4 linked regions of the Oreochromis niloticus genome follow. The protein of the gene in region 3 purifies or fractionates together with the protein of the main gene of each other region. This does not show direct contact. Links are inferred from orthologs where the notes say so. Each region holds a gene or a part of one and is shown on either strand. Other genes may lie near its edges.

What was found.
Region 1: the proteins of cbx5 (region 3) and adnpb purify together in Homo sapiens (affinity purification with mass spectrometry; 4 studies listed by BioGRID and IntAct, with this or other methods). This does not show direct contact. The link is inferred for Oreochromis niloticus from reciprocal best matches to the Homo sapiens genes CBX5 and ADNP.
Region 2: the proteins of cbx5 (region 3) and chaf1b purify together in Homo sapiens (affinity purification with mass spectrometry; 8 studies listed by BioGRID and IntAct, with this or other methods). This does not show direct contact. The link is inferred for Oreochromis niloticus from reciprocal best matches to the Homo sapiens genes CBX5 and CHAF1B.
Region 4: the proteins of cbx5 (region 3) and sentrin-specific protease 7 purify together in Homo sapiens (affinity purification with mass spectrometry; 3 studies listed by BioGRID and IntAct, with this or other methods). This does not show direct contact. The link is inferred for Oreochromis niloticus from reciprocal best matches to the Homo sapiens genes CBX5 and SENP7.

The regions. Positions count from the first base shown.
Region 1 is NC_031984.2:31,725,114-31,733,068, reverse strand, and holds the start of adnpb (activity-dependent neuroprotector homeobox b), read right to left. Parts: upstream 3,010-7,955; 5' UTR 2,989-3,009; intron 2,825-2,988; exon of another isoform or gene 2,318-2,824; intron 1-2,317. Other genes in the region: dpm1 (dolichol-phosphate mannosyltransferase subunit 1), read right to left, coding at 5,256-5,360.
Region 2 is NC_031987.2:18,700,931-18,707,851, reverse strand, and holds the start of chaf1b (chromatin assembly factor 1 subunit B), read right to left. Parts: upstream 3,011-6,921; 5' UTR 2,881-3,010; intron 2,519-2,880; 5' UTR 2,489-2,518; coding exon 2,363-2,488; intron 9-2,362; coding exon 1-8. Other genes in the region: morc3a (MORC family CW-type zinc finger protein 3a), read right to left, coding at 5,239-5,410, 5,517-5,707, 6,400-6,921. UniProt on the Homo sapiens protein: Acts as a component of the histone chaperone complex chromatin assembly factor 1 (CAF-1), which assembles histone octamers onto DNA during replication and repair.
Region 3 is NC_031984.2:19,129,782-19,136,840, reverse strand, and holds the start of cbx5 (chromobox protein homolog 5), read right to left. Parts: upstream 3,009-7,059; 5' UTR 2,887-3,008; intron 2,346-2,886; 5' UTR 2,300-2,345; coding exon 2,169-2,299; intron 1,817-2,168; coding exon 1,591-1,816; intron 1,373-1,590; coding exon 1,272-1,372; intron 642-1,271; coding exon 500-641; 3' UTR 1-499. Other genes in the region: hnrnpa1b (heterogeneous nuclear ribonucleoprotein A1), read left to right, coding at 3,696-3,710, 4,241-4,357, 4,470-4,616, 4,701-4,911, 5,003-5,155, 5,234-5,287, 5,378-5,494, 5,578-5,709 and 1 more. UniProt on the Homo sapiens protein: Component of heterochromatin that recognizes and binds histone H3 tails methylated at 'Lys-9' (H3K9me), leading to epigenetic repression. In contrast, it is excluded from chromatin when 'Tyr-41' of histone H3 is phosphorylated (H3Y41ph).
Region 4 is NC_031987.2:22,406,279-22,413,917, forward strand, and holds the start of sentrin-specific protease 7, read right to left. Parts: upstream 3,022-7,639; 5' UTR 2,987-3,021; coding exon 2,883-2,986; exon of another isoform or gene 2,826-2,882; intron 2,807-2,825; exon of another isoform or gene 2,788-2,806; intron 1-2,787. UniProt on the Homo sapiens protein: Protease that acts as a positive regulator of the cGAS-STING pathway by catalyzing desumoylation of CGAS. Desumoylation of CGAS promotes DNA-binding activity of CGAS, subsequent oligomerization and activation.

The sequences.
Region 1 (7,955 bases), about 13 Mb from region 3:
CCCTGCAGAGCTTATGACATCGAGTTGTGGTATTTTTCATAACAGGGTTTCTGCTTTATCTCATTCATTTGCACAAGAATGCACATGGATGCCAGGATACAGCTTCCACCAGGCAAGCCAGAGCTTAACGAATTAGAAGTGTCATTGCTAACGCAAAGACAGAAACACACAGATCCTCCCAGCCGTTATCATCAATATCACTTATCAATAAAGTGAGTCAGACAGAGGACACAAGTGTTGTTAATGTATTTACCAAACAGTCTGGTGCATCTATTCAAATCAAAGCTCCAAACTACTGAGGTCAAAGGTCACCGATGTACAATGGCATGAAGGCAGCTCAGCAACAATAAACAGTACATTCCCAAACAATTCCTGTGAACACCTCAGCTTATTTCCCCTTCTAGAAAACGCAAGTTGAGTGGGGCTGTGGATTCTACCATCTGTTGGTCCAGTGAGGAGACCTTTCTGTCAGTCCGCCCAGCCGCCCCACTGTTCTACTTGCCTCACATTGGTCTTACAGCGGGAACTGAGCAAAAGGGAGTGCAAGCGTCACACACCCCTGCCCACTTCCCCTCTGTGTCTCTATCCTTCTTCCGCCCATTACTTGTAGATGGCGCTAGAGAGGACATTATGTAAGCCTCCCTATATTCTGCCTGCCCCCTTTTTTCTCCTCCCTGCCTCGCAATACCATCACAGAATGGCGCCTCCTATTGAGTCAGCAGCAGCCTCTACAATATGTCTGCAGTGGGAGAAGGGGAGTGGGGGGGGGGGGGGGGGGTAGGAAGGGAGGAAGGGGAGGGACAGAAGGAGCGAGAGAGAGAAATCAGGGAAGGGGAGGGCGAGTGTGAGAGGATGAGGTGGTGGTGGGTGAGGGAGCAGGGAGAAGGAGGAGGGAGAGTGAGAGGGAGGGTGGGGGAGTGAGTGAGGGTAGAAGGAGTGTGAGGAGAGAGATGAGAGGAAAGCAGAGAGGACAGAGTGAGCGACGGAAATGGAGGGGGGGAAGGGATGGGGAGGCAGGGAGGTTGGACAGACAGGCTCAGAGGGGAGGGTGAGGAAAGGCGGGGAAGAGGCTGAAGGGGGAGAGAGAAAATGGAAGAGGGTGAGAGAGTGGGCAATGGATAGGAGTGAAGGGGGGTAAGAAAAGGAGCAAGAGGAAAAAAGAAACAGGAGAGGCTGAGTAGGAGGGAAGGGAGGGAGAGAAGGAAGAGGAAAGGAAGGAAAGGCAGTAGGAGGCAGCTCTCTGCTCTTCTCAGATCAGGGAGAAGAAAAAGCCCCCCCCCTCCCCAATCATGGTGGTGTAAAAAAAGAAAACATGAGGCCTTTAAGCCTTCAAACCTTCAACCACAGAATTCCTCACTCAGTCCATCACCAGGACACAAAAACCTGTCTCCCAGCTGCTGTTTACACTTCTACATTCAATGTAGGGATGAAGGCAGAAGCTTCTGGTGACATCCATGTCCACTCTGACACCAGAAAAAGTTTGAGATGCTTTCAAGCTTTCAATGCACAGTTGTATCACTGAACTTGATGCTTGCCTGCAGCACTTGCTATTACAGATGTATATGAGGCTGATATTTCCTGATCATAACCTGACTCTTGTCCCAGTCAAGTGACAGCCATCCTCTCAGCGTTACTAGTGCATCACAACCCTCTTCTCACCTGGCTGACCTCTGATCTTCAAATGCAGAAGATCAGAGCTCTGAGGCTTCAAATACAAACCTGCATGATCTCAGGTACGGCTGTAGACATGTAAAATGCACAACCTATACCGGGTCGAAGACAACACTGTGTCCAGTAATACAGCTACACTTTCGACACCAGGAGCCTTCTTCGCATGAAAGACCAGCAAGCCCGGCGGCATGAGCGACGGAGACAAATAAATCGTGCCCTGGGTCCACGCTGGTGTCAGTCATAAACATCTGGCAAAATCCAAATCGATAGATTTGGCAGGGAGATGCTGTCACTGACAAAGAATGGGGACACACCGCGCTAAGTTAGCATGCTAGGCTAGCCAAACTCGCACTAACAACACTGGCTGAAATAATAATAATAATAGTTCCGCCTTTTGTGCCCTTATTTAAACACAAACAACACCTGTCTGCATTTAGTTTTTGTTGGCTGCTATAAACAAACCTACCTACTGGACAAGTAATTCAACTTGAGCTTGCGCCCCTTACAGGGAGTAACAGAACATCGACAGCCAAGTTACCTTAGCTGTAGTTCATCGCCACCCACCGCATCAGCACAGGTAGCTACGGCTAACAGCAAACTCTCTCTGCCTCAGGGTAACGCCGAACATTAAGAGAGACAAGTTTACCTGCGTTCACATCCAGCGCTCCCGTCTCAGTGAAATGTGTCACCTCAGGATGGCTGAGACACTTTGACTTGCTCGGATATCTCCGCCAATATCCTTTAAGGTGACAGCTTGCTTCGGCAGAAGAACTAGTCGCCCGAACGCGAGTCTATCCTCCAAACCCGACTGTCCCTCGCCGAGAAGGGCTATCCTCTTCCCTCCGGTCGGCCAACGGGAGCGAAAAGCCTTGCAGCTTCATTAGACAATTAAAAGCTCCATTCCCTGGAGTGGTGAGGGTGGGCACATGTCTTGTTTTTGAGGAACAACTACCGGCGCAGCTCCTCGTTCAAATAAATCGCATTTAACTCTACCTACGAGTGCCTGTTAGCCGATAACGCTTTGCCCATTCTCTTCTCTGACAGACAATACACATCCAGCCTAGAAACTGCCCTATCCAAAATGGCGCAAATAAAAGGGGCGGAAGTGACATCGACTTGATTAGCATAAATTGTGAGAACCTCGCGAGGCCGGCTCATTAGAAACTCTTGATTGGTCTGTCAATCAATTTAACCAATTAAGCAAATGTCTGTTCAAAGGAAAACCCGTGTCGTCTATCAGACCCTGCGGCAGGATTTTGGTGTCGGTGTCTGACTCTGTGGGGTAAACAACCCAACACAGTATTTGCGGAAACTCACCGATAGCGGGCGTCCTACCGGAGTAGGTTTCCACCGGAGTAGTGCGCACGCGCGTTCTGGCTACATCTGGCGTCCCCCACCCCCACCCCATCCCCTCCCTTGTGGAGGGACGGATGAACACAGTGCCTCAGCACTCAGCTGGAGTGCCATGAACGATTGAGGCAACGTTAGGTGGCGCTGTACTATAGCTGCCCGAGCCTACCGAAGTGGCCGGGACTACTTTCCTGTACAGTGCCAGGAGAAGGGCTGCCCCAAAGAATAGTTCTGTTATCAGCACTCAGTCCAGAGTGTCACTGCATTCACATGGTTAAAGTGAGAGAAAAGTTCTCCATCAGGTCGGGTGGATTTTTGCCCATCCTTCCTTTTCACCCCATCATCGCTGTCACTCACACTCCTGCCACTCTATTGTATTCAGGTTTGCTGTGAAGGGCTATGCAATACAGCAGCTGTTTGCCAGCCTTGCATGTGATATTTAATGTCAAGTGTTGATGTTCAGTCTCCTGACTGGCTGAGGCTGTGAAATGGGTTGTTCATTATGGGCTAGTTTTCAAGGGGCAGAGGCAATATTTTAAGGTGGTTTTCCAGTTAAAGCACATTTATACCATGTAGCATATCAGAGCTGTAGAGGCTTGACCATTAAAGCCTCAGGAGTAGTATGTAACAGCGTAGTGGGGAGAACTATGATATATTGAATGCCCCAAACTCCTGTTTGAAGGCCAGTAATGAACCTTACCATATTACCTTATTACTTACCATATTTCTGGGTAAGCCTCTGGTGAGCCACAACATCTGGCTTCTGTTTTCAGTTTAAATAAGTCGTATTAGAGCTGGGGTTCAGACGTCAGTGAGGTCCAGAATTACTTCTCTTAATATATCGGATTCAAGATAAAGCCCCATGTGCGATCGTCAGTATTGAACCACTCACAGAGTTGTGATCAGTGTACACAGTTATCGATTTTATGCGTGTGAAACCCAAGCAAAGTTTTTAACTAATAAAAAAAGCCTACACTTTAGAAGAGACTTGGTAAAGGTTTTTTCCCCTCTTTAACAGGAACAATTGTATACGGAAATATGGATGATGAGTGTTATGCTTGTAAAACAAAGAAATCAATCCAAAATAATAAAACACAGAATTATTCCTTTACTTGAAATTTAAATAACATAAGGGGAAAAGTTACTCAGTGGCCAAACACCATCTTTGATTAACTCCTCACAAGTTATACATCAGCCTAACCCTCTGAACAGAACACGGTCAGTTACTGTAGGGTGGTCCAGAGTCCAGAACTTAAAGTTTGGATGCAATTACTCCACCTCCCGTTAACTCCGTTGTTCAGGAATTGGTCGCAATTCAGCGGGGGCCCTGCAGAGGGCACTGGCGACATACTCCATAATGAAACAACACTTATGTCCTTGACTTTTTCTTACACTGAAGCTGATTTTGTCCTTATGGTAGCATTCTGCTAATACACGCAGACTTGTCAGCAGACTCCCGTGATAACAGTGGATTCCAAAAGGTTAATGGTGTTGTGATCAAATGCATTTTACAGGAATCTGAAAACCAGTAAAGAATCTATAAATGGAACTTTATCTATTGACTTTTTTTTTTTTTCTTTCAAATATGCAATGAAGAAACGGGAAGAAAAATATTTATTTGTTGAGAATGACAGAGTTAAACTTCCATAAGGGCTGTATGGAGTCACTACTACAACAATCATCAGGAAAAAGCCAATTTACTGAAAGACCTTGGAGGTCAACGTTCTGAGTCCAAAATATCAATAACTAATCATGTTTAATTCAGGCTTTAAACTCCTTAAAGAAAATCAGTAAGAGAAGCTGCCTGCATCCCCAAGGGAAAAAAAATCTCAAGGCCAGTGATAAAAAACAGTTTAATCCTATACAATCAATCATAGGTGGAGCACTTCAGTGTGCACTTTAAGTCATGTGACAGCTTGTTAATGCAGAGTTCAGTCAGCTGTCTGGGCCGGGAATGACGAGACGCTTTGCCAGAAACTGATTAAAGAGGATGATGGGAATGTAAAGCACTATGTTTCTTTTGTATTCTTGAAGGTCTACTGACAGGGACTTCTTTTATATTTACACCTAACAGGGAGAGATGTCTCCCTTGGTATTTGCTGTCGTGCTGCTGTCTGACCACAGGCAAGTGGAGTTTTTTTCCCCTCCTCATTACAATTCTGATAGAACCGTATTAAACACAGTAAGAGGAAGACTATAGGCCTGTGGGTTTTACAAACTGAGTAAATCACTGATCATGTTGTGGCAAAAAGCATGAGCAGTCCCTTGGCGTACGATACAATCTCATTCCCTCCCAGTTTGGACTCTCCATAAACCCGGTCCACAAAGGAAATGGGTACCTGTTGGAAGAACCACAGATTTGTTTTACATGCAGAAATCCATGATTTACTAGTTATGAGAAGAGTTAACATGATTTTAATGTCATAAATAAAAATCAAAGGTAACAGTAAAAGGGTCATTTACTGGATTTTTTTAAAAATAAAACCAGAAAACATTATGCTGCAGGTTCTGTTCAAACACCACAAGAAAATGACCCTCCTGTGCGCCATTTCCTGCCAGGTCTATCCAGGCAGCTGAATCAGAGTATTTGCAGTAGTGTGAACATGTCTGAAGAAGACTCTTCTCTTTTGTTTGCCATTTACAATTAAGGATCTAGTAGCCTAAAGTCCATGGAAAGAGCTCAGACAGCCTCAAATACACCAATTAGCAGTCTACTTTTTAAATGTGGCACTTCAGATTTAAGTATACACTGAATACTTCCTTTAGTTTAAAAGTAGACTTTATTCATATCTAGAAAACTGTCTGTAGGTGGGTTTGACCAGACCCGTTTTACATGTTTAATATAACAAAATAATAACTTCACAAATGTGAAACTGTGTCAAATTGGTAAATATGGATGGCTGAAACTGAACTAAAAGTATTTAAAAAAAAAAAAAGATCTTAACTGAAATAACAATGAAGCTTTCAGAAAAGAAATTACATGAACACTGAGATAATATTTAACTTAACCTAAACTACAGGAAGTGGCTCCATGGTGTAGACATCATGGGTTTGATACCAGAAGGAGGCACAAAGTCAACCTCAAGGAGTGTACAAGTTACTGCACTCCTGAGGGGTGTAATACGAGGCATAAATCAAGTGCTTAGCGAGCTATCTGGAGCTTAAAGCCTGAGGTTTCTGTGTGGCGGAAGTGGATCTCTTTTTACCTGGCTAAATCACCATGGTAACTTATGCTAAACACACAACCTGCTTGGGAGCGGGTTGCGTTCAGGGTTTCGGTTTAAAACTGCCGGAAGTTTTCACAGATTCTATTATTTACGGCATGTTTTAAGTGCAATATAGATCCTGTGCTTGGGTGGCTTCACAGTGTAGCGGTTAACACATTTGTTCAACAGGTGAAAGGTTGAACAAAAGACTCAAATCCCTCTCTCGTTGTGTTAGGAAATAAAACTGCCGAATCACAACGTGCGGCGCTACAAGCTGCAGTGGCTCTTTGTGACAATGGAGGTAGTTATTATGGATATAGAACACATTTCATGTGTGCATGTCATGGGAATGAATTAATGCATGTATTAATCTGGAGTTAAATGTTTTTATATTTGATTCTGATCTACTGCTAACTATTTTACACTAGAATTGCAGCTACAAGAAAACAGAAGTAAACAGCAGCACCGAAGGCTCACTCATCATTAAAATAATTCCCTTAAATTAAAATGTTTATTTTACTGCTCTGTGCACTAAATCCCAAGATTAATGACTTCTACAGCATTAATTATCTGCAACAGTGCTGCAGTTCACTGTTTTATGTTCTTTATAGATTTTAAATTACCAATTTATCATCATCGTCTAATAATGTCTCTCACTGGAGTAGATGTTATTCAAAGGGATCTTTGTAAGCAGAAGAGTCACATGATGTGTCAAACACCTCGTTTTATGTGAGCGTGCTGAAAGCAGTTTTAGATTTTTTTTTCCCCACACTAGTTAACACAATGAAAACTGGCTGTGTTGAACTTGTTTCATAGTACGCCCCTCTGCTGTAGAACTCTGTGCATGCACTTCTATCCACTGTGGAAATCCCTTGGGAAATAATAAATAGCCAAAAGTAATTAACAACAAAAGCACATATAAAATAAAATAAAATAAATAAAGAGGCTTTCTATCACACTTAAAGCATACAAGTAACACAAATAAGTGAGAACACGGTGCTTCCAGCATGTTCAGCAGGAGTACCACAGTCATCTAGCCAGAGAAAAAGAGAGACTGTCATCTGGCTAACCCGCAAATGTCGCTGTATACCTTCTAGCAAGTGTTTGGCTTTTAAGCTACACCTGCTCTAATAGGATATTTAATGCAGATTTTTTGGGGGGGAAATTGCTCCTTTATCCTATATTAAAGTCGCAAACATTCTATGAAATCTATTTCTGTGTGTATATGACCCATATACGCATATTGGTTTTGAAGCTATGTGGTCTGGACACAAACAAAGCTGTGAAATTGCTCTAAAAACTGGTTTTAAATGTGTTAAAGCTTTTTCTGGGAGTTCTTCACTCCTAAAAGTGCTGTAATGAAGCAGAATGCAGTTTGAAAGCTCCTAATAGCAAGCCAAAAACTGTAAAGCATTAAAAAAAAATTAGATACTTATTACCCCTTTTTTAAAAACAAGTCAGCAGCTTCCTGCTCACACAAATCAGACTGATTAAATATGAGAATCAAATGGTTTTCTTGGCCTGCTTTTTCATTTTTCAATTAGCATAAAATCAAGAGGAAAAAAAGCACTCAAAAGAGATGAATGACAAAAATAACACATTTTCTTTTTTCCTCGATTTTAATCCTCAACTAAAAAAATGAAGAGAACGAATGACACACGAATGATTTTTCTCACACTGAACTACCTGAAAATTAAACACATTTAAAAAAAAAAAAAATTATTAAAG
Region 2 (6,921 bases), on a different chromosome or scaffold from region 3:
CGCCACAGCTGCAAAAACATCATTAGGAAAAGAGATCATTAAAAATTCTCTGTAAATTGGCTGTGCAACATACAACACTTCACAAACAATAATCCATCCACAGATTAATTTTAGTAGGATAAAGGTTATAAAAAAGGGTAAATGTATTAAAAATCTTAATACTTAAATAACTGCTATTAGGTGGATCCTGTGGGTGAATCATCCCTTTAAGGATGTCACGTGCCTCGATAATTTAAAACCTTGCTGTACGCAAACATGAAAACACTGCATTGCTTGGTGGTGCATCATGATTTAGAGACTGTCACCAGTGTCTGAGAAGGAAAAACCAAAAACCAAAAACAGGACTACTTTTGACTGCTCCGTTAGTCACAAGGGGCCACCACAGTGAGCAGTTCTCCTTATCTGATTTGGCAAAGAGTGTTATACAGGATGCCTTTCCTGATGCAACCCTCCCAGGGATTCGTGCCTCCTCCGGATCTCAAACTAAGGATCTTTGACTTGTTGTGTTAACCAGTATCCCATGGGTCTTAAAAGAGGCATTCTCTAAAGGCTAAAGCGGGCCTGAAAAAGTCTCTGTAAGAGACAAAAGGTCAATAATCACCCTGACAAATGCACAGTGAAACACTTGTTTAAATGTACAGTTGTGGCCAGAAGTGTACATACACTCTGGTCATTCAAAATCCAAGAAACTCTGTGAAGATCTAAGAAGGAGAATTGTAGATGTAGATTGTAGGATTCTGACTAAGAAAGATGCTCCAAAACTGACACCTTTAAGTTTGACTGAAATGCCCACGTGAACGAGGGCCTTCTGGAGAAGAATTTTATGGTCAGACGAGACAAAGATTGAGCTTTTTGGTCACAATGAAAAGAGGTTTGTTTGGAGGAGTAGTGGTGAGGCTTTTAAACCCAAGAACACTGTACTAACTTTAAGCACGGTGGTGGCAGCATCATGCTCTGGGGCTGTTTTGTAAGTGGCACTGGTAGATTGCACAAAGTGTACTAAAAGATTCTTATTCTGTTTACTCTTTTCCTCACTCTCCCTCACATGACCACAATTACCTCGGTTCCACTCTTGACTTTCTCAACACTGATTGGTTCTTGATTTTCTTTGTGCCTTAACTAAACTCACCTGGCATACATTATATAAGGACTGCACTCCCTTTCACTCACTCTTTTCACTCCCACATAGGGCGGCAGCTGAGATGAGTTTGATTTGTTCTTCTGAGTTTAAACATTTATGTTCAAGTTAATGATGTAAGGTCCAACCTTGTTTTCTCTTTTAGAGTTTAGCAGTCCATGTGTTTCTTACTTTAAGTTAAGTTAACATTAATTAAAGTGAAATAAACCAAGACATAAGGGACATCAATGATTTGGCTGTTTTCTTTGCATTCTGATCAGATGAAACTCATGGTGATAAACTTTACCTTACCTTTGAACCTCCTACCTAACAGATGGAATCTTATAGGACAATTACCACCAAATTATTCAACTTCACCTCAAATCAGCAGTAAAACAGTTTGGTATCATTCTTCTGTTGGAACACCTAACACACATCTATAACTGGTTTTAGAAAGCTAGCATTAAACTTTTGGAATGGCCATCCCAAAGCCCAGACCTCAATGCTTATCGAAGTGTATGGACTATGTTTAAAAGCAAGGTCTATACCAGGAAGCCTACCAATTTAAATGAACTCTGCCAAGAAGAATGATGAAATATCCAGCCAGAGTGATACTGGAAGCTTGTTAATGGCTACAAAAAACATCTTGTTCAGGTGCAACTTGCTGTTTATTAATAAGGGTGTATATAGTGTATGTATATATTTGAACCTCCACGTTTAATTTTGACCACGTTTGGATTAGAGAAAATCCAGAATAAATTCATACTTGTGTACTAAATTCTTATTTTTTTTTAAGTCATTAAAGATATACGCTGTACAATCATTTCACCCTGGAAAAAGAAAAGTCAGAAGGAATCACAAAACAAATTTCCCACGCGCGGGACTAATAAAGATCATCTTATCTTATCTTATCTTAAAAGCCCAAACTGTACTCTGTCTACCTGCACTGGGACTGTTCAGAAAGTTAACAAAATATTTTTTTTCTCCATATTATCTCTGGTTCAGTGTCCTTATTCTTAAGGTAAATGTTTTTATGACCAATTAATGAAGAAAGAACAACTGATGGGTACAAATACCTGCGTCTTCTATATCCGTGAGACTCATTTCTTCCTGCTGCATTTATAGACTAAATCACTGTTTTTTTTTCTTTATTTCACATTTTATTTAATTAAAAACAAAACAAAATAAAAATCGTCGACCTCTTACGGAGTTAGACCAGATGTTCTGACCGCTGTCTCCACTCACCCTGACTGTGGTGTCCACTCCAGCTGTGGCCAGTCGATGAATGCGTCCATCTGAGCTGTGCTGAAAGTCCAGACTGTACACTGGCTCCTTGTTGTGCCATGCTATCTCACGCGTTACCACCTTCATTTCTTTTCAATTTTTATATTCGGCACCGACCTCAAGGGATAAAAACACGGTAAATTCACCACCTAGATCGTTTTCAATCAACTCATATGGACGCATTAGTTAGCAAAACGTACAACAATGGACCCTGAAATACGGATTACAGATAACAGTTTGATAAAGCCGCTCTTTTGGCTACACTAACATATAGAGCACAGCTGGCTAACAGGTTAGCAGTTAAACTGGCAGGTTAGTTGGACTGGTTTACGGCTAAACACTGTGGACATCATTCCCATTCACGAACATTTGTAGTTAAGCTACTGTTAGCTAAGAAGCATGCCCGTTATAAACGCAGACGAATTACAAATGTTTATTACTCTGAACGAAGATAACTAGAAGTACATGACAGTATTTACCTTCTCTGTTGTCCAGCTCAGTCAGAATTGGTAAGTTCCCGCGTACCAGACTCTCAAAACTTCCGGTCTGCCGTGATTGGACAAAAACACGGATAGGGCGGGGACAATTGATAGTCTTGACTTTTTGGTTTTTTTCCTAACGTAATCCGGAAAGATCTTTGGCCATCCCCATTGAAATACAAAATATAATTCACAAAGGGGGGGTATAATCAATTACTGACAGGATGGCATTGTGTGTCTTTTCTACCCAGGTATGCTTTTACTGATTTGACAGTGAATGTGGAACCATTGCCATTATGAAAAACGAAGCCGTTGCAAAGCAAATGGTTTCTACATATTGCATGTTGTATGAAAATCTAATGGTAGTCGTCTCTGTTCATAATTCCATCAGTATTGATCTTGTCAATCTCCAGTACCACTTACCGAAATGCAGCCCCAAACCATTACAGTCTCCACAGTGTTTTACAGGTAATTGTAAACACTCGGTGTTTTTAGGCCTCACTTTTTGTTTTTATCTTCACTTGGCCAGTTTCTTAAAGTGGTTTAGGGACACAATGCACAGCATGCTGAAATATGACAAGTTTGTTCATAAAAATACTATTTTATGGCTGCCAAACTGTTATCATTGGGATGTTTCAAAGATTTAACTGAACAAATGTTTTTGTGACAGGGTGCTGGTAATAAACTGACTGAAGATAAAATCTACAATTGTTTCCTTGCTAAGTTTTCCATTATGTGTAGACACAACACTGGTTGAATTTGGTTTAAAAAAAAAAAAGGTCAATTTTTTATTAGCCTTGAATGATTCAAAGGTCTGTAAGTGGCTTAATAAAAATTCCTTTGAAAATAGTCAGGTACAAGTACTAGAAAAACAGACAATGTTCAAAGAAAAAGGGCAGTCATGATATCAGATTTTCACATCATAATTATCATAGTAAAAATCATGATGACAATGGAAAAAACGGTAGCAATTAGACCATTATTTAGAATTATTTATTAAAAAATAGGTAGAACATAATTTTATAACTGTGGTTGTTATTGACAGAATATTTAATTTTTAAATATCAGTTATCAGCAGTCCACTGCAACTGTGAAACATTTAAGTCAAGTTAACTTAAAGAAAATAAAACAGCTAACAGTTTTGCAATGAGGATTTTAGTTAAATCACGAGTCTTAAAGTTGAAAATCGAGTACATTTTAGAAAAAAGCATTCTTTTCAAGCCTGTGATGTGCAGGTTAAAGTACAACATGTAAAACCGTGTGGTTGATGCTTTTCATTTTTTTCTGTAAAATGTCATGGAAAATGGAAATGCGACTCCCACACTGGTTATTTTATCACCTGAGAGTCGCTTCAAAAAATATTTTGAAATACAAAGCAGATGTTTTTAAAACAAAATGATCCCGTTTAATTCATCAGTATATTCAGACCTGGAAGTTCATGCTGCTGCCACTGGTCAGACTGAGCTCTTTACCAAAGTGAAACTTGAATTATTGCCCAAAAGTGAAATGTAAAACCAGGGTACCTACGGTTAATGCCTTGATTGCCACCTACGCTGCCAAAACATTTGAGTTTGAAACAATCAACCAAGTCTGAAGACCTTGCTCCTTGTGTCCCACATCACACACCTCATTACTATAATGAAACGCTTGCTGCGATGACAAATGTCCGCTCTATTTAATATCAACGTGCCCAAGTTTGTGATGACGGACTTCTGTGGCAGACTTGTGTTGTGATTTTGAGAAGACTACCAAAGTCTCATAGAGCTTGTGACATAAGGACTTGATGCCTTTGCAGGTTGTTTTGGCAAACTCATTTTTATTTTGCTCCTACACACACAAATATACACCTGTGTGGCTGTGCGCTTTCCTCTCCTCTCCAAACCTTCCACCGCTCTTCCAGGACCGGACAGCTACTGAAGTCATGGTTACCGTAATGGACCTCAGCTGTGCCGGCCACCCCTCTCCTGCAGCTAAGCCACAAACCACACCTCACCGCAGAGCAGTAATCAACAAATATAAATAGGCAATATAAAAATATATTTGGTAAGACATGATAATACAAAATGTGCAACATATTATTTAAAACAAAAACAAGAGAAAAATCAAACACAAAAGTATTAATAGCTGGCAACACTACTGACAAACTGGTACTTCCTTGATTTTACTGAGAAACTTGGTAGCAATTAATATCTACAGCTGCTTTTGCTTTCTGTTTCTTAAAAAAAACAAAAAGCTAGTTTGAGTAACCTAAAAATAAAAATTTGTAAGCATCTGTAACACACCTTAAATTAAGTTAATATCCCACTCACGGGTCTCCTTACAAAACATTTACAGGTGGAGCGATGTGATGACTTTTGTTTAGTCATTTGTTGCCCCAAACATTAACACAGGGGTGTCAGAATTATTATTAGAGAGAAACTGGTCTAGGATCTCATCAATTACACTGCACTCGAAATTCACTTGTGCCAGGTCCAGCGCAGGCACGTGGAGGAGAAGAAGGCGCCCGACGTTCTGCCGAAGCTCTACCAAACTAAGGGGAAACAGAAAGGAGAGAAACAGTGAGGCTGCTTTCACAAATTGCTTTATCAAAGAGGGGTACATCAAAACCACGAGGAGTGATCTCCCAGCAGTCCAACCTTCTGGATGCATCCGAGTTTGAATGTGTGCCAGAAACAGCTGCCCCTCCTTCCTCCTCTGGATGTGTCTGAATTGAAGATTCACTGGTTGTTGGAAGACTTTGTGCTTTTTCCCTTTGGTGCTCTAAGCTTAACTGGAGCTCTTCGCACTGGGCTGCCAGGTTTGCCTTGTCCTCCTCCACAAGGTCCAGCTGGTGGTGCAGAATTAGAGGGAGAGGAAGAGGGAAGGTACGAAGGTCAATATCAATAAAACGAAAGGAGAAATATATTAAAAAAGTGCATAACAGTGGGCTATTTGGGATATTTTTCCTTATACAGTTGGATTGAGAAGTAGATATAAGGTATACCTCATAGCATGTGCTTTTATCAGAACACCAATTAAGGCACATGACAACATCGGCCAGCTGCTGCCAGATGTAACATAGATAAATAAATAAATAAATAAAAAAGCATTAACAAGAAGCACTCAGAAAGTGCAAACCTCCCCCAGGGCAGCTCACTGTCTGAGGAGTATTTACTTTTAAGGGAAAAGTATGTTACCTAAACAGTATGTTGTCAATACAAACAATGGCAGTAAGAAACATGGTTGTAACAGCTCTGTATACCATCATTTATCATGTTGACCTTCAGATCAATCTATTTGACCTCTACAGAGGTCAAATTTGACATGACCATTTCCAACTTTTTGTGTTTACAGACGGAGTGACATGCACGTTCCTACGTCAGCGCTACCAGAAACATAAGCTAGGCAGAGGTCAAAAGCTTGTTTAGTTCAGGGCGTTTAAGGCTCAAATTAGTTCAACTGAATGTGAGAAAAGCTGTTTGTCATCACTTTTACTATTATTTTTTTTAAACAAAGACAGCTCTACACAGTGTCACTGACCCGTGAGCGCAGCTCTTCTGTCTCCTTCGTTCTTTGATCCAGTTTCCGGACTAGAGCGTCAACTTGCAGCGCAATCTCATCATCATTTTCCACACTTTTATCGCCACTCAGATTGGCCTTGGTATCAGATTCTGCTATTAAAGCCTCCTTGTCTTTAATCAATTCACTGACTTTCTGTTTGGCCTTTTCGAACAGACTTTTGTAGTCCTTCTGCCCTCCTGTTTCTTCTGTCTGGCTGGCTTGGTGACAACACTCCTTCTTTACGCTGACCGGCGCCATCTCCTTCAGTTTTTTCTCCAGGTCTTTCACTTGTGAGGTAAGTTTCTGGACCTGTTCTTTTAAAGAGTCTCTCTCCTGAGCGGTCTCCTGCATGAGCTCAAGAAGCTGGTCTTGTTGTTGCTGTACCTCAGAGATATTGGGGTAGGTAAGTGGACTATATCTGTTGTCACCGATAGTTGAACAGGAAGGTCTAGGACTTCCTTCCCTTTCTAGATCATGGTTCACTCCATTCTGCAAGGTCTG
Region 3 (7,059 bases):
TTAAAACAATAAAAAAACCATTTCATCCTTGTGGTGTCAGCTGGGTTCTTAAAAAGAAGAGGTACACCGTTTATAGCAAATTAAAAGTTGTGAACCCACAATGGAACACACTCGGTGTTAACACAGCCTGTACCAACTCTGATTTTCAACACTAACATAATCGTATCCTGTAAGCACTAAAAGAATGTGTTAAAATATTTATTTTTTTTTATTTTAAAAGAAGGTAAAGAATACAAAGACAGAATAGTATAAACTCTCCCCAGTAGCATATCACCCATGTCATCTACAGCTTCTCCTCCTGAATGATGGATCCTTTTTAGTAGTCTGGGCCCGTGTGCTCCAATGAGGCTTGGATGGAGATAACACAGTGTCCAAAATTTGTGTGTGTCATTGCTGGACATGGTAAAAATTGAAGGTTGGGAGTTTAGGATGTGAAAAATGTCTGACTCAAGGTTGTCCCTGCAGTGAAGAGGTCCCGTTTTCTCCTGAGGCGATACACTCACGCACTGACAGCATCCTTCTCCTTCTTGTCACTGTCTTCATGCCAGGTGAGACGTTCCTCATAGAAGGCTATGACAATCTGTGGGCACTTATGATTGGCCTCCTTGGCGAGAACGAGATCAGCCTCATCAGAGTCTTTCCTGAAAAGAGAAAGTTTAAAATCACCGCTTGGGTTTGTGTCTTTGCACAACCAAGATATAATATCTCCATTTTCATAACACTTGCAGCATGCAAATTTGGTCCAACTTGTTAAAATGTAGCAAAAGATTTCACACATTACAGTAATTACATGGAGTGCATTTAAATTTAATCTGCTGCAAGTTATTATTAAAATTATAACTTAAAACAATTTAAAAAAAAAAAAAATGGACTGTGCAGGTTTCTGTGATAAATTAAACATTACTACAACTATTATCTGATATTAACCCTTAAATGGGGCTCAACCAAGCATGAGCAACAATGTACTACATTTAATCCCTCAAGATAATATGCAATTACATAAAGCTTTATGGTGTGGTTAAACATAGGCCAGCTAAGCTATAAATGCTGCTAAAGGCAATTTACAAATAGAAATATCAGAGTGTAAGAGCTGTCCTTTAAAAAGAATTATGTCAGTACAGCTGCATATAGTAGAAGAACTGCCTGAATCTGGGGCAAAAGGTCATCTGTATGGTTGTGCATGTAAGAAGATTTCTACCATTAGATGCATTTATTGATCGATTTCACACAAAAACTAAAGGCAAAATTAAATCAAGACTTTCAGAACCTACCACTTCATAAGAAACATGAGGTCTCCACATGAGTCTGTTGCTCCAATGATCTTCTCCGGCTCAAGTCCTCTCTCAAAACCGCGTGCGACAAGAATGTCATCCTGAAAGACCCCAAACAAAATTACTTTAGAAATCTGGATTTTGTATTAAACTCTTGAATTTACACCAGCTGTCTTTAAATGTAAACAGTTTCAGTTTCCACACACTTTAGATATAAATGCGTTGTGCTACCTAAATGTCAAGTAAAAGAAAAGGAAGCTAAATGCGGCACATTTCAAGATATAGACATCCTGCTTCTGCAGCAAAAAATAGTTCTTACCTCTTTTTTCTTCTTGGGCTTACTTCCACCTTCCTCGTCATCGTCAGAGCTCCTCTTCTTTGAGCTGCTGGAATCTTTGGCGCGTCCAGAGGACGCCGTGTTTGATTTGCTGGCCCCACTGCTTGGTGTGGAGGTCCCACCACTGCTTTTCTTGTAGGTCTTCATGAATTCTGCAATAAGCTCAGGGCAATCCAAGTTTTTCTCTGGTTCCCATGTGTTGTGCTTGCTGAGAAAGAGCACAGAGTAGAAAACTCAGTGCAGCCTTAATGCACCAGTTCGGATTGGAAACTGCAAGATATGCTAAAAAATTTGAGATCTTGCAATGTTTAAAACATTGTAATCTAATGGTACTTCCGTGGTCATTACTGTCCTTTAGATGGCAGAGCATCTGTGTCTAAGAGAGCTGTTCTGTTGTGCACTGGGTGCATCTTGTACCCGAGTGTTAGGTTTTAGAAATCTCCAATAACCTACTCCAAAATGTGACCAACTGTTTACAACATTTAATTTTAATAAAGATGCAAAAGAGTTTTGACTATGGAGCTTAGGACCGTGGTGAGTACATTTATTTAATTACTTACTCCGAGTATCCCTTCCACTTTAGGAAGAATTCAACCCTTCCTTTCACCACCCTCCTGTCCAGCACTTTTTCCACAACATATTCTTCCTCATCAGAGGATGAAGACTCTTCTCCGCGAGACTTTTTGCCCATGGTAAAGTTTGGTGCTTAACACAACGCGGTTGCAGGTGACACTTCCCTGTTTAGAAAGAACGGAGAAGCTCACGTTAAAGATATTTGAGTTTTGATCGCTCTCCCACTAGTTCTAGTTAATAAAAACGCATCATTTTAAAAATAATAATAATAATAATAATGGCTACACAGCCACATCACAATCGCAAAGCATCCACAAGTTACAGATCGGTAACACTTTAACATTAGCTAATTAGCCGCCGCTAGCAAGATGGCTATCATATTTCAGCGAGAGGCATAATATCGTCATCGCTTGTTTAATTGCAACATGGAACGTTAAAAAGGCCAACTAAACAGTGCAGCTAAACATCCTGATCGCCATCTACTCGTTAAAACGGTGAAAAGTCGGTCACTGTTACTACTAAAACGTGCAAGTAGCAAGGACGACGGCTACTAGCTGAACGGTGCTAGCAGCAAAGCAAAGGAAAACTTGCTACAGCAGGTAGCCTGCAAGCAACCGCTAAATCGAGCTAAACAACTATGCTATCAAACCATGCGCCCATATCTACAGCACCATGAAACTCGACATTGCAAGAATAGTGTCTTACTCTTCTGGAGGTTCCAACCGTCGATCTGTACCCGTCAAACCCTGTCTTTGTGGACGAGCAGCGAGGCCAACCTTTCAGCTACTTTAACAGCTAGCCTCACACACACACAAAAGGTGCTGTGCGCAAAAAAAAAAAGCGCGCGTTAAAAGCGCACAATAACTGACCCCGCCCCTCGGTCAGCTGATGATCAACAGATAAAGTGGTTGAATGTGCTTCTACCATGTTTTTAAGTTTATTCTGTAACAATTTGGAATATTTTTTGTATTAATACGTGCACACTCTGTATAGAAAATATTTTTTCTTTGATAAGGTGTGTATGTTAATGTGGGAGGTAGGGCTATTGCTGTACAAGGCAGCTGTGCTTCCGCCCACAAATCGAAAACAGAATCATTTACGGTTCGTATGATGTTTAATCTGAAGAAAATGCCCGTCTTCCTTGTGTTTTCCAGGAAAATAACTTACCGAGCTGTGCAGACTGTATGCTTACTGACTTAAAGGCGTTATACACGATAGACACGATACCTTCTTGAAGTTTTCCCTTTCACATACAACAACCATAATCCATTTTTTCATTGTCGTCATTGTACACCAGGTGATTGGACGCTGGTAATGATTGATTCTACATAGCCCAATCAAGATCGAATCACTGCGGACGACAAACTGCAGCGGGAATAGCTGTCCAATTGCTGTGCGACAGGGGCGTTACCGTTGCTATTTATTGTACTGTTGACTAGCAGGCTACACTCGTCTGACGCAGATCTCGGCTCTTCGCTTGTTACACAACACGTCTTCAAGACTAAAGCTGCAACATGTCGAGAGAGAGTGTGAGTACTGGGCTCGGGAGTACTTATCTGTTATTGTATACGTTGTTTTATGTTAGGGAAGGTAGGATATGAAGTTGCTGCATGCTTTTTATTCTTAGTACAGTCTCCGGTTTGGGTCGTAGCTGCAGTAGCTTTCCTGCATTGTAACGCCGCCATTTTATAGCAGCCAGGCCTCGTGGCCTTTTGTTCTTGCAGATGAGCTGCAGTGGAAATTTAGGACTTTAAATCAACATTTACGATGGAAAATTGCGCTTAAATGCTACAGGCATTTAAATCACGACCGACTCTGATCTATAACTACTTCTAAAACTTGACCTATTCGCTGGTCTTCCAGCGGTTTTGCTAACGTTAATGGCGGCGGTGTGTCCCTCCTCCACACGCCCTGAATTTTAATAAGGGGCGCAGGGAAGGATGTATGTACACGGTGAACAGCGTTAATTACTACCCGATTTAAAGTGATTGTGGTATTACATTAAAGCCGACATTGGAGCAGCTAATCAGATGTTATCGCATTGCTTTCTGTTGTATAGGTCCCACGTGAGCCGGAGCAGCTCCGCAAGCTGTTCATCGGAGGCTTGAGCTTCGAGACGACAGACGAAAGCCTGCGTGCTCATTTTGAGCAATGGGGGACCCTTACAGACTGCGTGGTAAGTCGTTTCATTAAGGATGTAGTCTTGTTTGAGCAGTCACGATTTTGCAAGAATGTAGAGCATGTTGGTACCCTGTGTATGAGCTGATCCAAAAGCACTCTTCTTTCAGGTCATGAGGGACCCCAACAGCAAGCGATCCAGGGGTTTTGGCTTTGTAACATATTCATCAGTGCAGGAAGTTGATGCTGCCATGTCAGCCCGTCCCCATAAGGTCGATGGAAGAGTGGTAGAGCCGAAACGAGCGGTTTCCAGGGAGGTGTGTAACAACTGGATGAGGTGCAATTGTTCTTGCATTCAAAAGGCGCATAGTGATTACAATAACAAATATCTTTGATTCCAGGACTCAAACCGGCCAGGAGCCCACATAACTGTGAAAAAGATCTTTGTTGGAGGCATCAAAGAAGATACAGAGGAGTCACACCTGAGGGATTATTTCCAGCAGTTTGGCAAAATAGAAGTCATTGATATCATGACTGACCGCAACACTGGGAAGAAGAGGGGCTTTGCCTTTGTTACGTTTGATGACCACGATTCAGTTGATAGGATTGTCAGTAAGTACAGAAGTTGACTTTTCCCTAGCTGCATGTTTTGTCAGAATTTTGATTGTTGGCTAGCTTGTTTACAAAAAATCGCTTTCCACAGTCCAGAAATACCACACTATCAACTCTCACAACTGTGAGGTGAGGAAGGCCCTCACAAAGCAGGAAATGCAGAGTGCGGGAATGGGTATGGGAATGAGAGGAGGTCGCAACACTGGTGGCAGGCCCTACGATTACGACAGGGGCTTCAATCAAGGTATGGCTTATTTTGTTGATGGTGGAGTGATTGATTGTTATACTATGTGATAGCAAACCTTGTGTTTATCCTATTTAGGTGGCAGAGGGCGATATGGAGATGGTCCTTACAATTGCAACGGAAGTGATGGTGGTGAGCATGGTTTTGTTGTGTCTTCCTATTTTCTTTGCTTTTTTTTTTTTAAACTCTACAGTATATTTTAAGGCTGTCTTATATATTTAGGCTATGGAGGCGGACCTGGTGGTCCTGGTGGCTATAATGGAGGTAACCGTGGTTACAACCAGGGCTACAACCAGGGTGGTGGATATGGAGGAAATGGTTATGACAGCAATGGTTATGGTAAGATAATGCCATTTCACTGCCTTTTACTAGAACTAGAACTTGCTCGAGGTTGACCAATGTTATAAACTCTGTAATCGCAGGCAATTGTGGTGGTGGTGGAGGCGGCGGTGGCGGCAATAACTACAACAACATGGGCCACTACGACCCCCAGGCCTCTAACTTTGGCCCCATGAAGGGCAACTTTGGTGGCGGCGGCGGCGGCAGGAACTTTGGTATGAGTTCCCAGACTTCACAAGTAAATGCGTTTATTGTACGCTGGCCTCGTGTAGGTTTATACTTTGTTTTTTGCTTCCAGGTGGATACGGAGGCTCAAACAACAGTGGCTATGGACGTCCAGGACGATTTTAAAATGAGAAAGTGGTAAGAGCTTGAGAGCATGCCTTAAGAGTCTTTTAATGTAAAACAACAGCTTGTGGTGAGCAGGGAATCATTGAGTGCAGATAACCTTTAAACAAATTCACTCTGGATGTCAGGTCACAAAGTCAGTGCACAGTTAACAATGTTGTTCCGTATTGTTCAACAGGACTGAGTACTTAGGAGAGGAGAGCAAGGAGAGGAGAGCAAGCGAAGTGACAGGGCAACTGCAGGTTTACCTCCTAAATCTGCTCAGCCTATGAGTTGTGGCAGGTTACAGCTGCTGCAAGAAGAGATGTACAGTAGATAAATCATGGAGGGCCTTCATTTAAACATTTTGTGTTATGTTTTTCTCTTTTTTTTCGTCAATTGTGTTAATGGAAAGCAAGCATTCCAATGAGGTTTTGTGTAGATCTTTAAGTCTGGTTTTTATTTGTAACTGCATCAAATCAAGCTGAAATAAACACCTTTCAGTTTTTTTAACAGTCTCGTTAGCCTTTTCAGTGGTTTTGGGAAAGGGAGGGTTTACTATTAGGTGAAAATGGGTCGAGCCATATACATCACAAGGTGGCCGGGGAAAGTCAATATCCGTGTCTCCTACATGCTGCCTCAGGTCAGCGCATATGCAATACTGGTTAAGGGGCGGGCAAAGAAATGGTGCGCAAATGCCATCATCAGAAAGCCCATCACTTTGGTACAAGCTCTGCCCTGATTTCTGCAAAGATCACCTGGAGAATGCTAGCTTACATGCAAAGTCTATGAGGCTAGCCATGGAAGCAAGCTGAGGGAGAGAAGTAGCAAAACCATCGCCAGGATCATTGAAGCAGGGGAGAGTGAGAACAGAGGCCTGAGTCTAGCAGGCAGCAGCTACCAAAAGGCTTAAGTGCTGTTTGTAGGTAAGACCAGACTTCTCAACTACTGATGGTATATCTTGCATTTTGTCATGTAGCTGGTAGTGAGATATGTAGCCCAGTAATAATTAAGTTTTATGACCATTCTACTTTTTGACTTAATTTGGCCTCCAATTGTGCATTGAGGCCCAACATACTGCATGCTATGAAATGAGCAAATATTTTATATTTTTGGGTTATTGTTTTATTTATAGTATTTCTCCTTTGTAGGTAACTACATGGACCCCAAAACCTGGCTTCATTTCTGTGACAATGGTTTTTGACAGGTAAAAATCATTACTTGTTTGTATTTTTAGT
Region 4 (7,639 bases), on a different chromosome or scaffold from region 3:
CTGAGCCGGATTTAATGAAATGTGACATAACACTGTGTGTTTTGATTTGCTCAGGCAAAAACATCAGTACTTCATGACTTGTTGTGGTTGAGCACACATGGTTAAATAAACAGCAGTTAATCAGCTTGTGGTTAAAAAAAGAAAAGAAAAATGAGGGGGAACATGGCAAACCACACATTCAGCTAAACACTCAAACATTATTAAAAGTGAATAATAACACCAGAATATTACCACAATAAGCTTTCTTTTTTTTTTTTTTTAATTGTGTTATACATACATTCACCGGCCACTTTATTAGATACACTTTGTTACTATCAGGTTGGACCCCCACTTCAGAACTGTATTAATTCTCCATGGCATAGATTCAACAAGTTGCTGGAAATATTCCTCAGAGATTTTGGTCCACATTGACATAAAAGCATCACACAGTTGCTGCAAATTTAATAACTTCGCATCCACATCCCACAGGTGGTCTATCAACTGAGATCTGGTAAACTCATTGTCAAGTTCAAGAAACCAGCTGGAGATGATTTGACCTGTGTGACATGGTGCGCTACCCTGCTAGAACCAAACCTGAGATGATGTTTACACTCTGGTAGGGCTGCCACAAACGATTATTTTGATAGTCGACTAGTCACCAATTATTTTTGCGATTAGTCGACTAATCAGATCATCCATCCACTGGACGTAAAATGTACAGCTTATTGCACCAGCATGTGTCTGCTCTTATATAACTATCATTAGCTTACAGCTTGAAGTGTTTAAGGTATGTGCTAACTAAAAATAAAGACAAGATGATAGTTTATTACACTTTTAATGAAATTTGCAGATTGTTTCAGTGAAGTTTAATAAACTCAGCCGTCTGCTCCTTGCTATCTAAAATATAACAGGACACCGGAGTATATTCTCGAGCATCTCACACTTCTGATAATCAGTTATCTGCTTGACGTTTATTCATCTGTGCAAAAACTACAACTTTATTTCTCAGCCAAACCAATTTACTCAGGAACAAATAAAATACTAGAAAAAAAAGCCAAACAATAACATTTTTAAGTTATCTAAGTGACTTATATTACATGTTTAACCTGAGTGGCGAAAGACAGCGGTGAGTTTGAAAACGATTTGCCGGGAGTCCGGTGTTCTCACCGGCTCTAATGAGCCTTGAACCCCGGCTCGCTATGGAGCTGGTGGGTAACAGACGTCTCCGAAAACGTCGGAGCGCTTTTGAAAATATGTGGTGTCTTGATAGACTGAGCAGATATTTGAGGTTTACACAGCTACATTCTCACCTGAAAATATGTTAAACGTTTATTTTGTGACCCAGAAAGAATAATAAGAGTAATATTAAAACTAACTAGCTGCCGCTATTGTTGACAACTGCGCTGGGCCGAGCTATGAATTCTGGGACACATTCTTCTTCTTCGGGGTTTAACGGCAGCTGACATCCTTGTACATGCAGTGCTGCCATCTTCTGTTTCAGTCCGTTATTACACTCTTAAATACTACTACTTATTCCTGCGTCTTTTGGGATCTTACAAAGCTTCAAACGACGCGTCGACTATTAAATTAGTCGTCGACGATTTTAATAGTCGACGTAATCGTGACTAGTCGACTAATCGTGGCAGCCCTACACTCTGGTCATAAAGGGATGGACGTGGCGAGCAATTCTCAGGTAGGTTGTGATGTTTAAACGGTGCTCAGTTGGTACTAAAGGGCCTTAAGTGTGTAAGAAAATATCCCCCACACTATTACACTTCCACCACATTCTTTCATGTTGTTTACCTTAAATTATAATACTACTAACAAAATGTTGCAGCAGAAACCAAACCAGAATCGGACAATAGAAGATTAGCCGATTCTGGTGAGCCTGTGCACAATGTAGCCTCAGTTTCCTGTTCTTAACTGCCACTCCGCTGTGGTCTTCTGCTGCACCTTTGTTCCTCATTCTAATGCTAAGTTTGAACAGGTCCTCTTGACCAGATCTACATGAGGAAATGCCTCAAGTTGATGCCATGTGATTAGATGTATTTGTTTTTAGTGAACGGGTGTACCTAAAAAAGTGGTCAATAGGCATATATCATTATGCATCTGACGTAAATGCCTCTCAGAGTGTGTCAGACTGCAGAATATTGCAGATACATTGCCCACGTTGTTATCCTGGCCAGTGTACCATGATGACAGTATGTTAAGTGACTTCAAACCCTGGAAAAAGTATTATTCAGTAAATAAACACTCTCCAAAAGGAAACTACATTAAATGTTGCTGTAAAAGAAAAAAAAGCACTTGGCAGACCAATTGCTGCCAAACATGATCAAAAGAAAATGTACTTCCTACATGTTTAAACTCACATGCATTTCCTATTTTGCATCAGCCACCATCGACAGATCTTATCAAGTTAAATGAATTATAAATCAGTTTCTGTGTGGACTCTCATAAGGCTAAATGATGAAATGCAAACTCAGAAATATATATAAAACTCAGTGTTGTGACTGTAACAGTACCGACTTGCAGCTAACCATAAGCGACCGACACTGCCAGTTCAGAAAGCAACACTCCAGCTTTCTTTTGTCACTGAAGCTGATGTTTGTGATGCACAGATAGCGCACATGCTGCTCCCAATCCAAACAACCAACCTTTATTATGGTTGTAACACAGCACATTGTAACCTCGGAGGTCACCGTGCAGACCTCGTGTTTATTTATGTTTATTTTCTCTGCCTGAACACAACAGAAAGTTGACATCTGATTAGCTCTCGGCTACAGCTAGCAACGTTATGCTATGGCTTACCCATGATGCTAGAAACACGCAGGAAAGCTAAAGCTTACCCCAGGCCACAGCCGCTCGCAAGTGCAACGCACAGTATCAGGAAACTGGAAACCTACTTTCCCACGGACGTGTACATCTGCACCTTACAGTCACAGAAAGCACACATTTTCCACAGTCCGATAGTGTACTCAACGGGCGCTGCAATATTCCTTAGGAACATCCGGTGAAACCCGGAAGTGCATCCAGAGTAAAACAAGAGCGTGAAGAGCAGCGCCGGGCTGAGACTGCCTGTAATTAATTCATAACTAGATGTACAGCAAAAGCTGCAAGTACTAGCTTTGTTTTAGGATTAATAATGAATTCGCATTTAAATGTAAACAAATTGTGTCATGATTTAATGACCAATAATTATAAAAATAATTTACTAGTCAAACAAATACATATGTTTTAAAGGGGATATATTAAGCTAATAATAACAATAACAATAACAATAACAATAATAATAATAATAATAACATTTTAAGATTTTTTTTTATCACAAACTGTATTAAGATTACAAGGCATTTACGATTTACTTTTTACTTTGTTCGCTGTTTTCTCTTTCCTGTTAAATACTAGACTTGATTTCCCGTCCTCTATTTTAGTAGAAATGTGGTCAAAACTTAGGTTCCTTAAAAGACACTATACAAATTTCAGTTACTATTATTATGAAGTCTTTCTCTCTTTTTTACCCATCCCCTACAACTCACCATTAGTTATGAGATGTAGCATACCACAGTTACAATAACACAATAAACGCTACATCATGCTCATCAATTAAAGGGAAACTTGGCAGCTATTGTCTAGTATTTAAAGGATAAATCTAGTTTTGAAATTAAAAAAAAAAAAATTAAAACAGTTGAAGAATTGCATTTACATTTATCTTTTTATGAGTAGCTCCTATTGTCATATGTTATTCTACAATTCACTCAAGCGTTATGACAGATGTATGATCATTTCATTATTTTTTCATAAAATAAGCAGGTACATCTGTGCAATGACAATAAAGTTTTACTGTCTTCTAAAAGGTCTAGAGTTGATTCCAAGTGTAGTATTTACATCTGTTAGTTGTTTATGTGAATCCACAATGTGTGCACATTAAGTGCAAGTTAAACAGTCAGTCAATAAGATGAAAGCCAAAACAGATCCATCACATTTATTTAACTTTAGGAATATTAGGACATTAGCAGTGGCTAAGTCAACAGCATCTGGAACAAAGAAAAACTAGAAATTTTTTGAAAGTATTGAAGTACAACATTATGGTGTTTTAGAGGCAGACAGTCAATTTCAACTCAGTTGAGGTGCATTTCCCATGGTGAAGACAACTAACGAACAAAAAACAACTGAAAACTGTTGCAGTAACGCACTGGTAAACATGAGAAATAAGAAAAAAAACATTCTTTGCCAATGCAAAGACTTGGGTGTACAGTAGGTGTGGTCTTCTACATCAGCAAAAGACCACATTGGGTGCAATTCCTGTCAGCTAAAAAAAAAGGCAACAGAGGAAACAATTTCCATGAGATCCACAAAGTTTGACAAAGGGTGACTGGAAAACATTGCCTGGTTTTACAATTCCCTCCTTGGTGCTAACTGAATATTGTTTATTGTTGAGTATTGTTGCTGACCGTGTTCTGACCATGACTCCGGTGTGTACAATGAATCTTCTGATAAAACACCAGAGTCACAAAGTTCAAATCATCTGAAACTGGTTTACTGGCTTGACAGTGAGTTCACTGTACTCAAATGGCCTCAGAGTCATGAGATCGTAATCTAACAGAGGACCTTTGGGATGTGGTGGAATAGAAAAATTCCCATCATGAATATTCAGCCAGCAAATGTGCAACAACTATGTTATGCTATCACATCAAATGGACCAAAAAATGTTGAATCTGTGCTCTGAAGGAAAAAGGAGGTCCAACTTGGTACTAGCACAGAATACCTATCAAGGTGGCTGGTAGGTGTCAATAAAGAAATTAAAACAACCAAAACTGCCAACAGTTGTGTAGATCCCCAGCAAAATACTCATCTCGTACTCATACTCTCAACTCATGTGATGTTGCCGGTAGATTAGTCTCATTTCAGCAAATCTTGCAATTGATTTTATTGGATTTGGGTCTGGGAAAACTGATGGCTGTTGCCTTGGGCTCTTCTTCCAATTGGAAATATGGAAACATGGAGACGAATTTCAAGATGCAAAGTATCCCAGCAGAACAATAACTAACTTATAGTTTAATTGGTCTGCTACTCCAGCACCCACAGGACCCAAAATTCATATACGTAAAAACATATAATACCATCCACTTTTACAGTCTTTTTTTGTTACACTGCATCTATAAGGGGCAATAAACATACCAATGTTAGACCAGCAATAATACAGCTGTAAGTTTTACAACAGTTTCAGCACATGTGGTGCTTGAACTTAATTATCTACCTATCTATCAAATTTTTTTCCACAAAAAGATTTTTTACAAAATCTCTCTGTATAAATCTGCACAAACAGCAGAGGTGCAAGAGCAGAAAAATCCATGATGTAGTTATTAACAACTCACTCAACAATAAGTCACTCATGCTTTCTCATCAACATGGCTGTCATGGGACACTAGTGTTCCCTGAATGGAGCTAATAATGCTGCCATTTCTATCCTGTGCTTTTCCAGCTGGAAAAGTCAAAAGCTCCAGCACGAAAAAAAAAAAATTAGGGGTTAAACTCAGATTTTCACTTCATCATTATTCCATTCATCCATTCACTTTCTTTCACTTATCCGGGGGGAACACCAAGCCATTCCCAGGCCAGCCGAGAGATATAATTTCTCCGGTGTGTCCTGGGTCTGCCCCAGGGCCTCCTCCCAGTAGGACATACCCAGAACACCTCAGGCATGAGGCGCCCAGGTGGCATCCCTGTCAGAACCAATTCAAGTGGCTCCTTTCGATGTGAAGGAGTAGAGGCTCTACTCTGAGCCCCTCCTGAATGGCCCAACTCCTCACCCTATCTCTAAGGGAGAGCCCAACCAACATTTGGAGAAAGCTCATTTACGCTGCTTGTATCTGCAATCTAGTGCTAGGTGAGGGTAGGGATGTAGATCCACCGGAAAATTAAGTGCATCGCTTTTATGGTGAACTCTCTCTTCACCACAATGGACCAGTATAGCGTCCACAACACTGCAGCCATAGCAGCAAACGGTCTGTGAATCTCCCGCTTCCCTCACTCGCGAACAAGACCACAAAATACTTAACCTCCTCCACTTGGAACAGTTACTCGCCCCAAAACTGTAGTGGGCACTCCACCTTTTTCCAGCTAAGGATTACGGCCTCCGACTTGGAGGGGCTGATTCTCATTCCTGCCGCTTCACACTTGCGAACCGCTCCAGTGCAAGCTGGAGGCCATCACCTGATGAATCCAACAGAACCACATCATCTGCGAAAAGAAGAGATGAGATTCTAAGACTACCCAAGTGGAAGTCTTCCGCCACTTGGCTATGCCTAGAAATTCTGTCTATAAAAATTATGAACAGAATCGGTGACAAAGGGTAGCCCTGGCAGAGTCCCACTTATTACCGGCTATGTGGTCCAAACTCTTGCAGCAGTTGTATAAGGATCGAATGGCCCATAGCAATGGACTTGATGGATAAGTCATCCCCCTCATCCTCAGACTCTACTTCCTCCACGGAAGATGCGGCCCTGGGATTAAGGTGATCCTCTAAATATCTCTTCCACAACCTGAAAATATCCTCAGTCGAAGTCAGCAGTGCTCTACCTGCACTATACACAGTGCAGGTAGAGCACTGCTTCCCCTCCTGAGTTGCCTGACAGTTTTGCCAGAAACTCTTGGAGACAGTCCGAAAACCTCTCCAAGCTCCTCCCACACCTGAGTTTTTGCTTCAGCCACAGCCTTGAGCAATAATTGAAATAAAAAATAAATATATTTTCAAAAATGTAAAAATCACAGAGCAAAATTGTTTCTGAAAGCTGTAAAAAATTAAAAATTAAAAAAAAACAATGCCATTCGTCAGATTCATCCTGAACTCTCTAACTCAGTGAAAGAACAGTCACTCACTCATTTATTACTAAAAATAAAATAATTGAAGATTTCATTTTTAACATAGATATTTTCATTTTTCACAATTATTGTGAATGCATGTTTACTGGTACACTCTTATTCCTTATAAAAGAAAATATGACCACAAGAGCATTTTTATAATTTATTGATGTAACAGCAGAAACATCAGGCCAGCTCAGCCCCTGGAAAGAGGTTGGTGAGCCGGCCTTCAAACACTGCAGCAGATAAAACTTAGATTTTACTTACAGAGAACATGTTGACCTACCACTCACACTTGATAAAATATCCATTCCTTTTTTTTTTTAACAGATTTTGGTTAATGTTATTATAGTGATATTTTTTATTAGCTACGCCAGTACTTCATGGTGTGGCAAGTCAAAATGTCTCCAGTAAAAGAAATTTGACCACTGGGTACAACATGGACAGTGCTGGAATAATGTTTCTTGTTTGTTTGATGTTTGCTTTTGTGTAAAAAAAAAAAAATAACAATGTAGATCTTCTCACATAAATTGTTTAGTGTATAAAATGAATGAGTACTCCAAAAAAAATGAAATGAAATAAATCACAGATTATTTATTTCCGTTGACTTGTCCATGGTCCTAGTGTCCAGCGTAGTCTTTAACATCAGGAGCCACATTTCTGCACGGCTGTCTCTGATGACGTCCCCGGCCCTGCTGCTTCTAAGACGCCTTCATCAGATCCTGGGCTCAGTGATGCAGTCGAGGCTTTTTCTCTCAACCCCTGCCCCGCTCTCTTTCCAGCTAAGATGAGAAGAGAA